3 linked regions of the Saccharomyces cerevisiae S288C genome follow. The protein of the gene in region 1 purifies or fractionates together with the protein of each later gene. This does not show direct contact. Each region holds a gene or a part of one and is shown in the gene's direction. Other genes may lie near its edges.

Region 1 (3,418 bases):
CCATCGAACAAACCGTCACTGACCCAGTCTTGTCTTCTAAATTGAAGAGAGGTTCCAAGTCCAAGATCGAAGCTGCTTTGTCCGATGCTTTGGCTGCTTTGCAAATCGAAGACCCATCCGCTGATGAGTTGAGAAAGGCAGAAGTTGGTTTGAAGAGAGTTGTCACCAAGGCCATGTCTTCTCGTTAAGATGTCATTCTGGTTAAGGTTATACACATATATATATTTTTCATTTTTAATGTCTTAGCTTTTGTATCTTAGATGAAGTTTTAGTTCTGTATATCACGATCAAGATATCATACAATCATAAATTCAATTATTCTTCTGTTTCCCCTCTTGAGGCATCAAACGAGTGTTTGACTGATACACACCAACATACTAAGGCAACTTTTCTGGCTGCCCAAAGCTGTGGCACGTATGAAACTGCTTTTCGGCTGCATAAAACAACCATGTGGAGTTTTTACTGTATTCGCATTTCGCCCCGCTAGCATTCTTCGTTCATGCTAAAAATGAGGCGTGGGCTAATATTCAGTATTAATAATTCCGGCACCCGCACAGCCCATACCGGAAAAGGGGCTGGCTGTTGGGCTTGGCAAAAAACTCAATCTGAGCAGTCATTTATAAAGAAAGACTTTAATTTGTCTTGCTAAACACTTGTAAGCCTTCCAAATATAGATCACTTAAGACAATCTAACAAGTGTCCAAAATGTCTGCAAACGAATTCTACTCAAGTGGCCAACAAGGTCAATATAACCAGCAAAACAACCAAGAAAGAACTGGTGCTCCAAACAACGGTCAATATGGTGCCGACAATGGTAACCCCAACGGTGAACGTGGTTTATTTTCCACTATTGTAGGTGGCAGTGCCGGTGCGTACGCTGGATCTAAGGTGTCGAACAACCATTCTAAGTTGAGTGGTGTGCTGGGCGCCATAGGTGGTGCATTCCTTGCCAACAAGATATCTGATGAGCGTAAAGAGCATAAGCAACAAGAGCAATACGGCAACTCAAACTTCGGAGGTGCTCCTCAAGGTGGACACAACAACCATCACCGTCAGGACAATAACAACAATAACGGTGGATTTGGCGGTCCAGGCGGCCCTGGCGGTCAAGGTTTCGGAAGACAAGGCCCACAAGGATTTGGAGGTCCTGGTCCACAAGAGTTTGGTGGTCCAGGTGGCCAAGGATTCGGTGGTCCAAATCCTCAAGAATTCGGCGGGCCAGGTGGCCAAGGATTCGGTGGTCCAAACCCTCAGGAATTCGGGGGCCAAGGTCGTCAAGGATTCAATGGCGGTTCACGTTGGTGAATGGCTCAACAGAGTGAGTGTCATTTTTAGCTAACTACATACTTGATTTATCTATATATACATATATACTACTCGTTTTATTATGATGTCGTAACAAATGACTTATTCGAGAAAAGAAAACGTGAAAAAATAAGCTAAAAATTTGGCGATGAGGTTCTCTGTTGAAGTTGGAACCCGCAATTCATGATTTTGGTAAGGTCAAGGATCATCAGTAATTAGCTTAAAGTAAGAACTACTCAATAATATTAAACCATTTATCCTTGGCTCGTCTTTCTATTGACCAATCAATACTATTTTAAACATCTCTTCTACCACATACTTTCAATCAGACTAGAATGAAATTGGATACTTCTCATATGAGATATTTGACAACTGATGATTTTCGTGTCCTCCAGGCCGTTGAACAAGGTTCTAGAAGTCACGAAGTCGTTCCAACTCCCTTGATTCATCAAATCTCGGGGATGAGATCGCAGTCCGGAACAAACCGAGCCATTAGTGATTTGGCCAAGCTTAGCCTTATTTCCAAAATGAGAAATGTCAAATATGATGGTTACAGGCTAACTTATAACGGTATTGATTATTTGGCTTTGAAAACCATGTTAAACAGAGACACTGTCTATTCTGTCGGTAACACTATTGGTGTTGGTAAGGAATCTGACATCTATAAAGTAAGTGACAAAAATGGAAACCCTAGAGTAATGAAAATTCACAGATTAGGTAGAACCTCTTTTCATTCCGTCAGAAATAATAGAGATTATCTGAAGAAATCCAACCAGGGGGCAAACTGGATGCATCTTTCACGTTTGGCAGCCAATAAAGAATATCAGTTTATGTCCATGCTTTATTCTAAGGGTTTCAAGGTCCCTGAGCCATTCGATAACTCGCGTCATATAGTCGTTATGGAGCTTATCGAGGGTTACCCAATGAGGAGATTAAGAAAACATAAGAATATACCCAAGCTTTATAGTGATCTGATGTGTTTCATCGTTGATCTAGCAAATAGCGGACTTATCCATTGTGATTTTAATGAGTTTAATATTATGATAAAGGACAAACTAGAGGATGAAAACGATTGTGGGTTCGTAGTTATTGATTTTCCACAATGTATATCTATTCAACACCAAGACGCCGACTATTATTTCCAAAGGGATGTTGACTGTATTCGTCGTTTCTTCAAAAAGAAACTGAAGTACGAACCAAAACCTGATTCATCAATGCTCGACACTGAAGGTTTCGGCGATGGTTATAAATATGCGTATCCAGATTTCAAAAGGGACGTTAAAAGAACCGACAATTTGGATGAATTGGTGCAGGCTTCCGGATTTAGCAAAAAGCATCCAGGAGATAGGGGCCTGGAAACTGCCGTTGAAAGCATGAGAAATGCTGTTTATAATTCAGATGACGATATGTCTAATGACGAGGCCGAAGAAGAAAATGGGGAGGGCGATTATTCAGAGGAGGATGAATACTATGACTCCGAACTTGATAATGAAAGTTCTGAAGATGACAGTGAAGATGCACAAGAAGAGGAGAACGAACGTATTATAGAGGCGCTTTCCAGTGGTGTTGAAAATCTAAAAATGGATAAACTAGGAAACTATATACTAGAGTAGTTTAGTTTAGACGACTGCATAAATGGCCGCAAATAATCAAGTTGTTATCCATAATTTTTTTGATTTTTAAGCCATGTTATTCTTCAGGATAAAAAAAGTGGTATTTATGAACTCTTACATATGCGTATTCATGCTATATTATAATATCGAATCTAAGTCAATCGTATTCTACTCCGGATCCATCCTCATCATCTTCATCGTCATCATTATCAATTTCTATCGGAATATCTTCGAGTTCTAACGGCTCCTTAAACTCTTTGTATTGGAGTTCCTGTTCTGGTTGACCATTTATAGAAGCAAAACTATTATCTCTATTCAAAGCGCTTTGGCCCTTTTTGTCTTCCTCTTCATCGTCTTCTTCATCATCTTCTTCTGCTTCCTCTCCGTCTTCTGCACCGTCTGAGGATTCTTGGCCACTCCCATCGGAAAGGTCGCTCTCAGCTTCGAAATTTTGGTCATTTTCTTCATCATCGTCTGAAAACACACCTGCCTTTTTCTCG
Region 2 (3,056 bases), on another chromosome or scaffold:
TTTGAAAGGGTCCCAGTGAAAAGTACACTGCTTATTCATATTATTGACGGCGGCGACATTGGGAGTGGCGGCAGACTGATGAGCTTTAACCAGTGAGAGGCTATTAATGTTATCTTTTTGAAAATGAATGTTGGAAAACTCCACGCAGTCCGGGCGGCCCGCCTTCTGGAAGTTATATTTGCTCAATTGCTTAACGAATGCTGCAAAGGTGTGAATACCAAAAAATCGCTCTAGGATGACTTTGGTGAACTGGTCCGGATTCCAAATGACGAGCTTGCTGCCATCAGTCGACCATTGTATTATGTTCGAGTAAGCGTTCCCCTGCAGCAGGTGGTAGAGTTTGCTTACAAAGACATCAGGCTGCTCCATCCTCGATGTTGCATCCATGTCTGACGTGCGTCGCTACACGAAAGAGACACACTTGGCGACTGCCCTGACTGGCAATATATACAGTCCGCAAATGTCGCGGACTGATGCGTCCACTTACTCTTCCTATATACCACCTGGGTGAAGAGGAGAAGTGAGCCCGTTCTGGAGATATATGTCCAAATATTTGCAGATCCAGTTTTGTCATTATAATGAGATGCCTTTTGGGCGACAAAGTTCGGGTAAAAGAAGGACGGGTCCAGGAAGGCCGTGGCCACAGAACAATGCGCAGAGAAGATTTCCGGTTTCTTTTTGGCTTTTCCGACTTTCATCTTTTAGAACTAAAGATTTCCTGCATCGGTAAACCTTAGCAATGTTTCTCTAGAGGGTTTTTGCACACCAGACACGTCGCACGTGCTCTTGCAGAGACTGCTGCGCTTTCGTTTACACTCAGATAACATAGTCTAGCTAGCTTGCTGTCGTTCGGCACGAGATCTAATCCTTCTCCTGGCCTACCGTCTGTGCAACCATTAGTCATGATTACGTGTGTTGCGCCTTATCTTGTCATTATGGCAGCATACTTTTCGTAGTCCTTTCCTGCGCAGCTTGTCCATTTTCGTCATTACGTAAAAAGTCCTAATGGAGAGCTGGGTACTGCATTTTTTCGATGTTTTCAATATTCAGTTCAGCAGGAAATAAACAAATAAACAAACATTAAAATATCCTGGTTTTTTTTCCCAGAGACGCGTGGAAGCACCCATGCATCCACTATTTATTTTTAAACAGCCGTACATTCTGTAATTTTGCTTCCTTTTTCTTCCTGCGTTCTTTTTTTCTTGAACTGTCGTTTTCCGTTATTTTTTTCGGTGACATCAGTTGAAAGTAGCAGCGGCCTAGGCCGGGAGGCCGTGTAGCTCTTTGTAGTCGTGGTAAGGGGGAGTAGCAATTCACTTAGTACGTGGTCTTGGAGTTAGGCTGGCTCGGACTGGCCCTGGCAAGTCCTGTTCTGTGTGGTAGTATTGAAATTTCAGAGATTGTCGGCAATACTAGTATATTAAAAATTATACTATAATTTAATCTAGTGTTGAAATACTTTCTTATATAGCGATTTTTCTGCCCAAAACAAACCAAAGAATCAATACGCAAAGATGGCTAGAGGACCGTATGTTTGACTATAGACTTTGATTATAATTACGCAAGGATGAGAAGAATGATAGACAAGAAACAAGTGGAGTCTTAACCAAACGAATAGGAACAACAATGAACCAGTTTATGTCCATTTAATTTTAGATCATCCTGGGATTGTACAAATATTTTACGAGTAATGATTTACTAACGAGCACAATGAAAAAAATAAAATGTCTGTATCTTCATTATACATTCATTTTTGCCCTTTTTTCTCATTTTTTTCCGTACAGAAAGAAGCATCTAAAAAGATTAGCAGCTCCACACCACTGGTTATTGGACAAGTTGTCCGGTTGTTACGCCCCAAGACCATCTGCTGGTCCACACAAATTGCGTGAATCCTTGCCATTGATTGTCTTTCTAAGAAACAGATTAAAGTATGCTTTGAACGGCCGTGAAGTCAAGGCTATCTTGATGCAACGTCACGTTAAAGTGGACGGTAAGGTTAGAACCGACACTACCTACCCAGCTGGTTTCATGGATGTCATCACTCTAGATGCCACCAATGAAAACTTCAGATTGGTCTACGATGTCAAGGGTAGATTCGCTGTCCACCGTATCACCGATGAAGAAGCTTCTTACAAGTTGGGTAAGGTCAAGAAGGTTCAATTAGGTAAGAAGGGTGTTCCATACGTTGTTACCCACGATGGTAGAACTATCAGATACCCAGACCCAAACATCAAGGTCAATGACACTGTTAAGATCGACTTGGCCTCTGGTAAGATTACTGATTTCATCAAGTTCGATGCCGGTAAGTTGGTTTACGTTACTGGTGGTCGTAACTTGGGTCGTATCGGTACTATCGTTCACAAGGAAAGACACGATGGTGGTTTCGATTTAGTTCACATCAAGGACTCCTTGGACAACACTTTCGTCACTAGATTGAACAATGTCTTCGTCATCGGTGAACAAGGTAAGCCTTACATTTCTTTGCCAAAGGGTAAGGGTATCAAGTTGTCTATTGCTGAAGAACGTGACAGAAGAAGAGCTCAACAAGGTTTATAAATTTCATAACAACTTAATTATTTTCTTCTTTTGTATATCTCCATTAATGTTTATTAGAAATTGAATTTTAAAATAATACATCGTATCTTCCTTTTTCGACTGGCAGTAATATAACGTATAATATATATATTAGGTGTGTGTATATATATCCGTATTGTAATATTGATAGTAAAAATACGCTAACCCTGAAATAGAAGGCGTATGATAAGACGTACTGACACTACGCACTACCACAATATATGCGTATGTGTGTGTGTGTGTGTGTGTGTGTGTGTGTGTGATTGTATTGGAATATATATACTTACTAAAATTAGCTTATATGGTTCGCATATTGACTATTTATAAGGATATTCAACTTGTCTGTCCTTTCTTAACCAAATTTTCTTCTTTCTCTTGGTGGTAACATGTTCCACAAACTTCTCAGTACAATGATCCACTTTGAATTTCTTTATGAAAACAGGGTCCCATAATTCAGAACCGACGCCGAGATCTTTGCAACA
Region 3 (3,897 bases), on another chromosome or scaffold:
GTAATATCACGTATATATATATATATATATATATTTATTCGAAATAAAGAGCAGAACAATTCAAGTGTTCAATTAGTATGAATGGCTATTAACATTATCGTTTCTTTCTTTTTTTATGATTTAGTCCAAAATATCACTATTCAAATCTCGCGGAGAGAAAGGGTTCGAAAATTTTGTTTTATAATATCATGATTTTGATACGAACATAAATATATATAGAAGTAAAAGAGAAAGTGTTCAGAATAATATTCACGTCAATGAATGGATATCAAAGAAAATGAATGGTTCGAAGGAACAAAAAAATCACATAAGCAATAGACCAACCGCACAACTTAATATGGACCCATTTGGAATATAGAAGCGTGCAAAGGATGTTATAAACTTTGATAAAAGCATGGAATCTTAGCCCATCTACAGATGCCAGACTGGGCGCAACAAACTTTTTTTCAGCAGTAGGCTTCTTCGCCACGGTATGACCATCGCATAACTTTCTTGCCTTGATCGGATCATCCGTGATAGCACCATGGATAGGCAATTCGCACAGATATTTGAAATCTATAGGTTTGTTGACAGTCCATAAATAGACCTTGATATCATTCTTCATAAGCACAGGTAGTAATCTCAATCTAAATTGGCTTGTCCACGAGGAGACAAAATGGACGCTGATACCAAAAAGTTTATAGTGAGGATCATTCAGTGTCAAAGAGCGCTTCACAAATTGCGAGGCGATATCTAAAGACAGACTTATCACAATAACTTTGAAATCCTTCAGAACACCAGTTTCAATACCGAAATCGTACCAATCCAGCAACCAAAGCCCCCACGTGATCCTCTCCTGCCAAAATTTAAGATCATTCTTAACCTCTAACATGATAACAAAGGTCTTGATCATGATGATTTTCTCGTTGGTAAATTTGATGTCCAACATCAATTTAGCTCCTGGATGGCACACTGCCCATGTTAGAATTTCCTTCAATGTCATCATTGCTAAGGAACCATCCTCTTTGCAGCGCAATCGCTTAACCTCCTCCCAAGTCGACTCGCCAATCACCAAGTTCTTATCCCACATCCGACCAGTGTCTGAGTCATGGTTTACCACCACCATACCATCGCTGGTCATTTGTAAATCCGTTTCTATTACATCAGCACCTGCTGCATAAGCCTTCTCAAATGCTAGTAGCGTATTTTCAGGATATCTTGCTTTAAAAGCTCTGTGGCCCACAATTTCAACCATCCTCGTGTCCTTGTTGTTATCTTACACTTCTTATTTATCAATAACACTAGTAACATCAACAACACCAATTTTATATCTCCCTTAATTGTATACTAAAAGATCTAAACCAATTCGGTATTGTCCTCGATACGGCATGCGTATAAAGAGATATAATTAAAAGAGGTTATAGTCACGTGATGCAGATTACCCGCAACAGTACCACAAAATGGATACCATCTAATTGCTATAAAAGGCTCCTATATACGAATAACTACCACTGGATCGACGATTATTTCGTGGCAATCATATACCACTGTGAAGAGTTACTGCAACTCTCGCTTTGTTTCAACGCTTCTTCCCGTCTGTGTATTTACTACTAATAGGCAGCCCACGTTTGAATTTCTTTTTTTCTGGAGAATTTTTGGTGCAACGAGGAAAAGGAGACGAAGAAAAAAAGTTGAAACACGACCACATATATGGAACGTGGTTGAAATACAAAGAGAAGAAAGGTTCGACACTCGAGGAAAGCATTTGGTGGTGAAAACACATCTTAGTAGCATCTTTAAACCTCTGTTGGGTACTTAGAAAAATATTTCCAGACTTCAAGGATAAAAAAAGTCGAAAAGTTACGACATATTCGACCAAAAAAAAAAACCAAAAAGAAAAGATATATTTATAGAAAGGATACATTAAAAAGAGATGGACTTAAGAGTAGGAAGGAAATTTCGTATTGGCAGGAAGATTGGGAGTGGTTCCTTTGGTGACATTTACCACGGCACGAACTTAATTAGTGGTGAAGAAGTAGCCATCAAGCTGGAATCGATCAGGTCCAGACATCCTCAATTGGACTATGAGTCCCGCGTCTACAGATACTTAAGCGGTGGTGTGGGAATCCCGTTCATCAGATGGTTTGGCAGAGAGGGTGAATATAATGCTATGGTCATCGATCTTCTAGGCCCATCTTTGGAAGATTTATTCAACTACTGTCACAGAAGGTTCTCCTTTAAGACGGTTATCATGCTGGCTTTGCAAATGTTTTGCCGTATTCAGTATATACATGGAAGGTCGTTCATTCATAGAGATATCAAACCAGACAACTTTTTAATGGGGGTAGGACGCCGTGGTAGCACCGTTCATGTTATTGATTTCGGTCTATCAAAGAAATACCGAGATTTCAACACACATCGTCATATTCCTTACAGGGAGAACAAGTCCTTGACAGGTACAGCTCGTTATGCAAGTGTCAATACGCATCTTGGAATAGAGCAAAGTAGAAGAGATGACTTAGAATCACTAGGTTATGTCTTGATCTATTTTTGTAAGGGTTCTTTGCCATGGCAGGGTTTGAAAGCAACCACCAAGAAACAAAAGTATGATCGTATCATGGAAAAGAAATTAAACGTTAGCGTGGAAACTCTATGTTCAGGTTTACCATTAGAGTTTCAAGAATATATGGCTTACTGTAAGAATTTGAAATTCGATGAGAAGCCAGATTATTTGTTCTTGGCAAGGCTGTTTAAAGATCTGAGTATTAAACTAGAGTATCACAACGACCACTTGTTCGATTGGACAATGTTGCGTTACACAAAGGCGATGGTGGAGAAGCAAAGGGACCTCCTCATCGAAAAAGGTGATTTGAACGCAAATAGCAATGCAGCAAGTGCAAGTAACAGCACAGACAACAAGTCTGAAACTTTCAACAAGATTAAACTGTTAGCCATGAAGAAATTCCCCACCCATTTCCACTATTACAAGAATGAAGACAAACATAATCCTTCACCAGAAGAGATCAAACAACAAACTATCTTGAATAATAATGCAGCCTCTTCTTTACCAGAGGAATTATTGAACGCACTAGATAAAGGTATGGAAAACTTGAGACAACAGCAGCCGCAGCAGCAGGTCCAAAGTTCGCAGCCACAACCACAGCCCCAACAGCTACAGCAGCAACCAAATGGCCAAAGACCAAATTATTATCCTGAACCGTTACTACAGCAGCAACAAAGAGATTCTCAGGAGCAACAGCAGCAAGTTCCGATGGCTACAACCAGGGCTACTCAGTATCCCCCACAAATAAACAGCAATAATTTTAATACTAATCAAGCATCTGTACCTCCACAAATGAGATCTAATCCACAACAGCCGCCTCAAGATAAACCAGCTGGCCAGTCAATTTGGTTGTAAGCAACATATATTGCTCAAAACGCACAAAAATAAACATATGTATATATAGACATACACACACACATATATATATATATATTATTATTATTATTTACATATACGTACACACAATTCCATATCGAGTTAATATATACAATTCTGGCCTTCTTACCTAAAAAGATGATAGCTAAAAGAACCACTTTTTTTATGCATTTTTTTCTTCGGGAAGGAAATTAAGGGGGAGCGGAGCACCTCTTGGCCAATTTGTTTTTTTTTTATGTAATAAAGGGCTAACGATCGAAGATCAATCACGAATATTGGACGGTTTTAAAGGAGGGCCTCTGAGAAGACAGCATCAATTCGTATTTTCGATAATTAACTTGCCTTATAGTGTCTGATTAGGAAACAATCACGAGACGATAACGACGGAATACCAAGGAAGTTTGTGCAAATATACAGCCGGCACAAACAGCAGCTTCACTCAGGTTAACTCACATACTGTTGAAAATTGTCGGTATGGA

Evidence for each region.
Region 2: the proteins of RIO2 (region 1) and RPS4A purify together in Saccharomyces cerevisiae (affinity purification with mass spectrometry; 5 studies listed by BioGRID). This does not show direct contact.
Region 3: the proteins of RIO2 (region 1) and HRR25 purify together in Saccharomyces cerevisiae (affinity purification with mass spectrometry; 8 studies listed by BioGRID, with this or other methods). This does not show direct contact.

The regions. Positions count from the first base shown.
Region 1 is NC_001146.8:253,713-257,130, forward strand, and holds RIO2 (protein kinase RIO2), read left to right. Parts: upstream 1-1,640; coding exon 1,641-2,918; downstream 2,919-3,418. Other genes in the region: Hsp70 family ATPase SSB2, read left to right, coding at 1-188; YNL208W (uncharacterized protein), read left to right, coding at 706-1,305; RTT106 (Rtt106p), read right to left, coding at 3,076-3,418. UniProt on the Saccharomyces cerevisiae protein: Required for the final endonucleolytic cleavage of 20S pre-rRNA at site D in the cytoplasm, converting it into the mature 18S rRNA. Involved in normal export of the pre-40S particles from the nucleus to the cytoplasm.
Region 2 is NC_001142.9:701,527-704,582, reverse strand, and holds RPS4A (40S ribosomal protein eS4 RPS4A), read left to right. Parts: upstream 1-1,514; coding exon 1,515-1,528; intron 1,529-1,784; coding exon 1,785-2,556; downstream 2,557-3,056. Other genes in the region: HMS2 (Hms2p), read right to left, coding at 1-387; YJR146W (uncharacterized protein), read right to left, coding at 345-698; MGM101 (Mgm101p), read right to left, coding at 2,892-3,056.
Region 3 is NC_001148.4:162,364-166,260, forward strand, and holds HRR25 (serine/threonine protein kinase HRR25), read left to right. Parts: upstream 1-1,912; coding exon 1,913-3,397; downstream 3,398-3,897. Other genes in the region: PGC1 (phosphatidylglycerol phospholipase), read right to left, coding at 269-1,234; cAMP-dependent protein kinase catalytic subunit TPK2, read left to right, coding at 3,893-3,897. UniProt on the Saccharomyces cerevisiae protein: Protein kinase which phosphorylates serine and threonine residues. Can use casein as a substrate. Phosphorylates elongator complex member ELP1/IKI3 on 'Ser-1198' and 'Ser-1202' which promotes the tRNA modification function of the complex.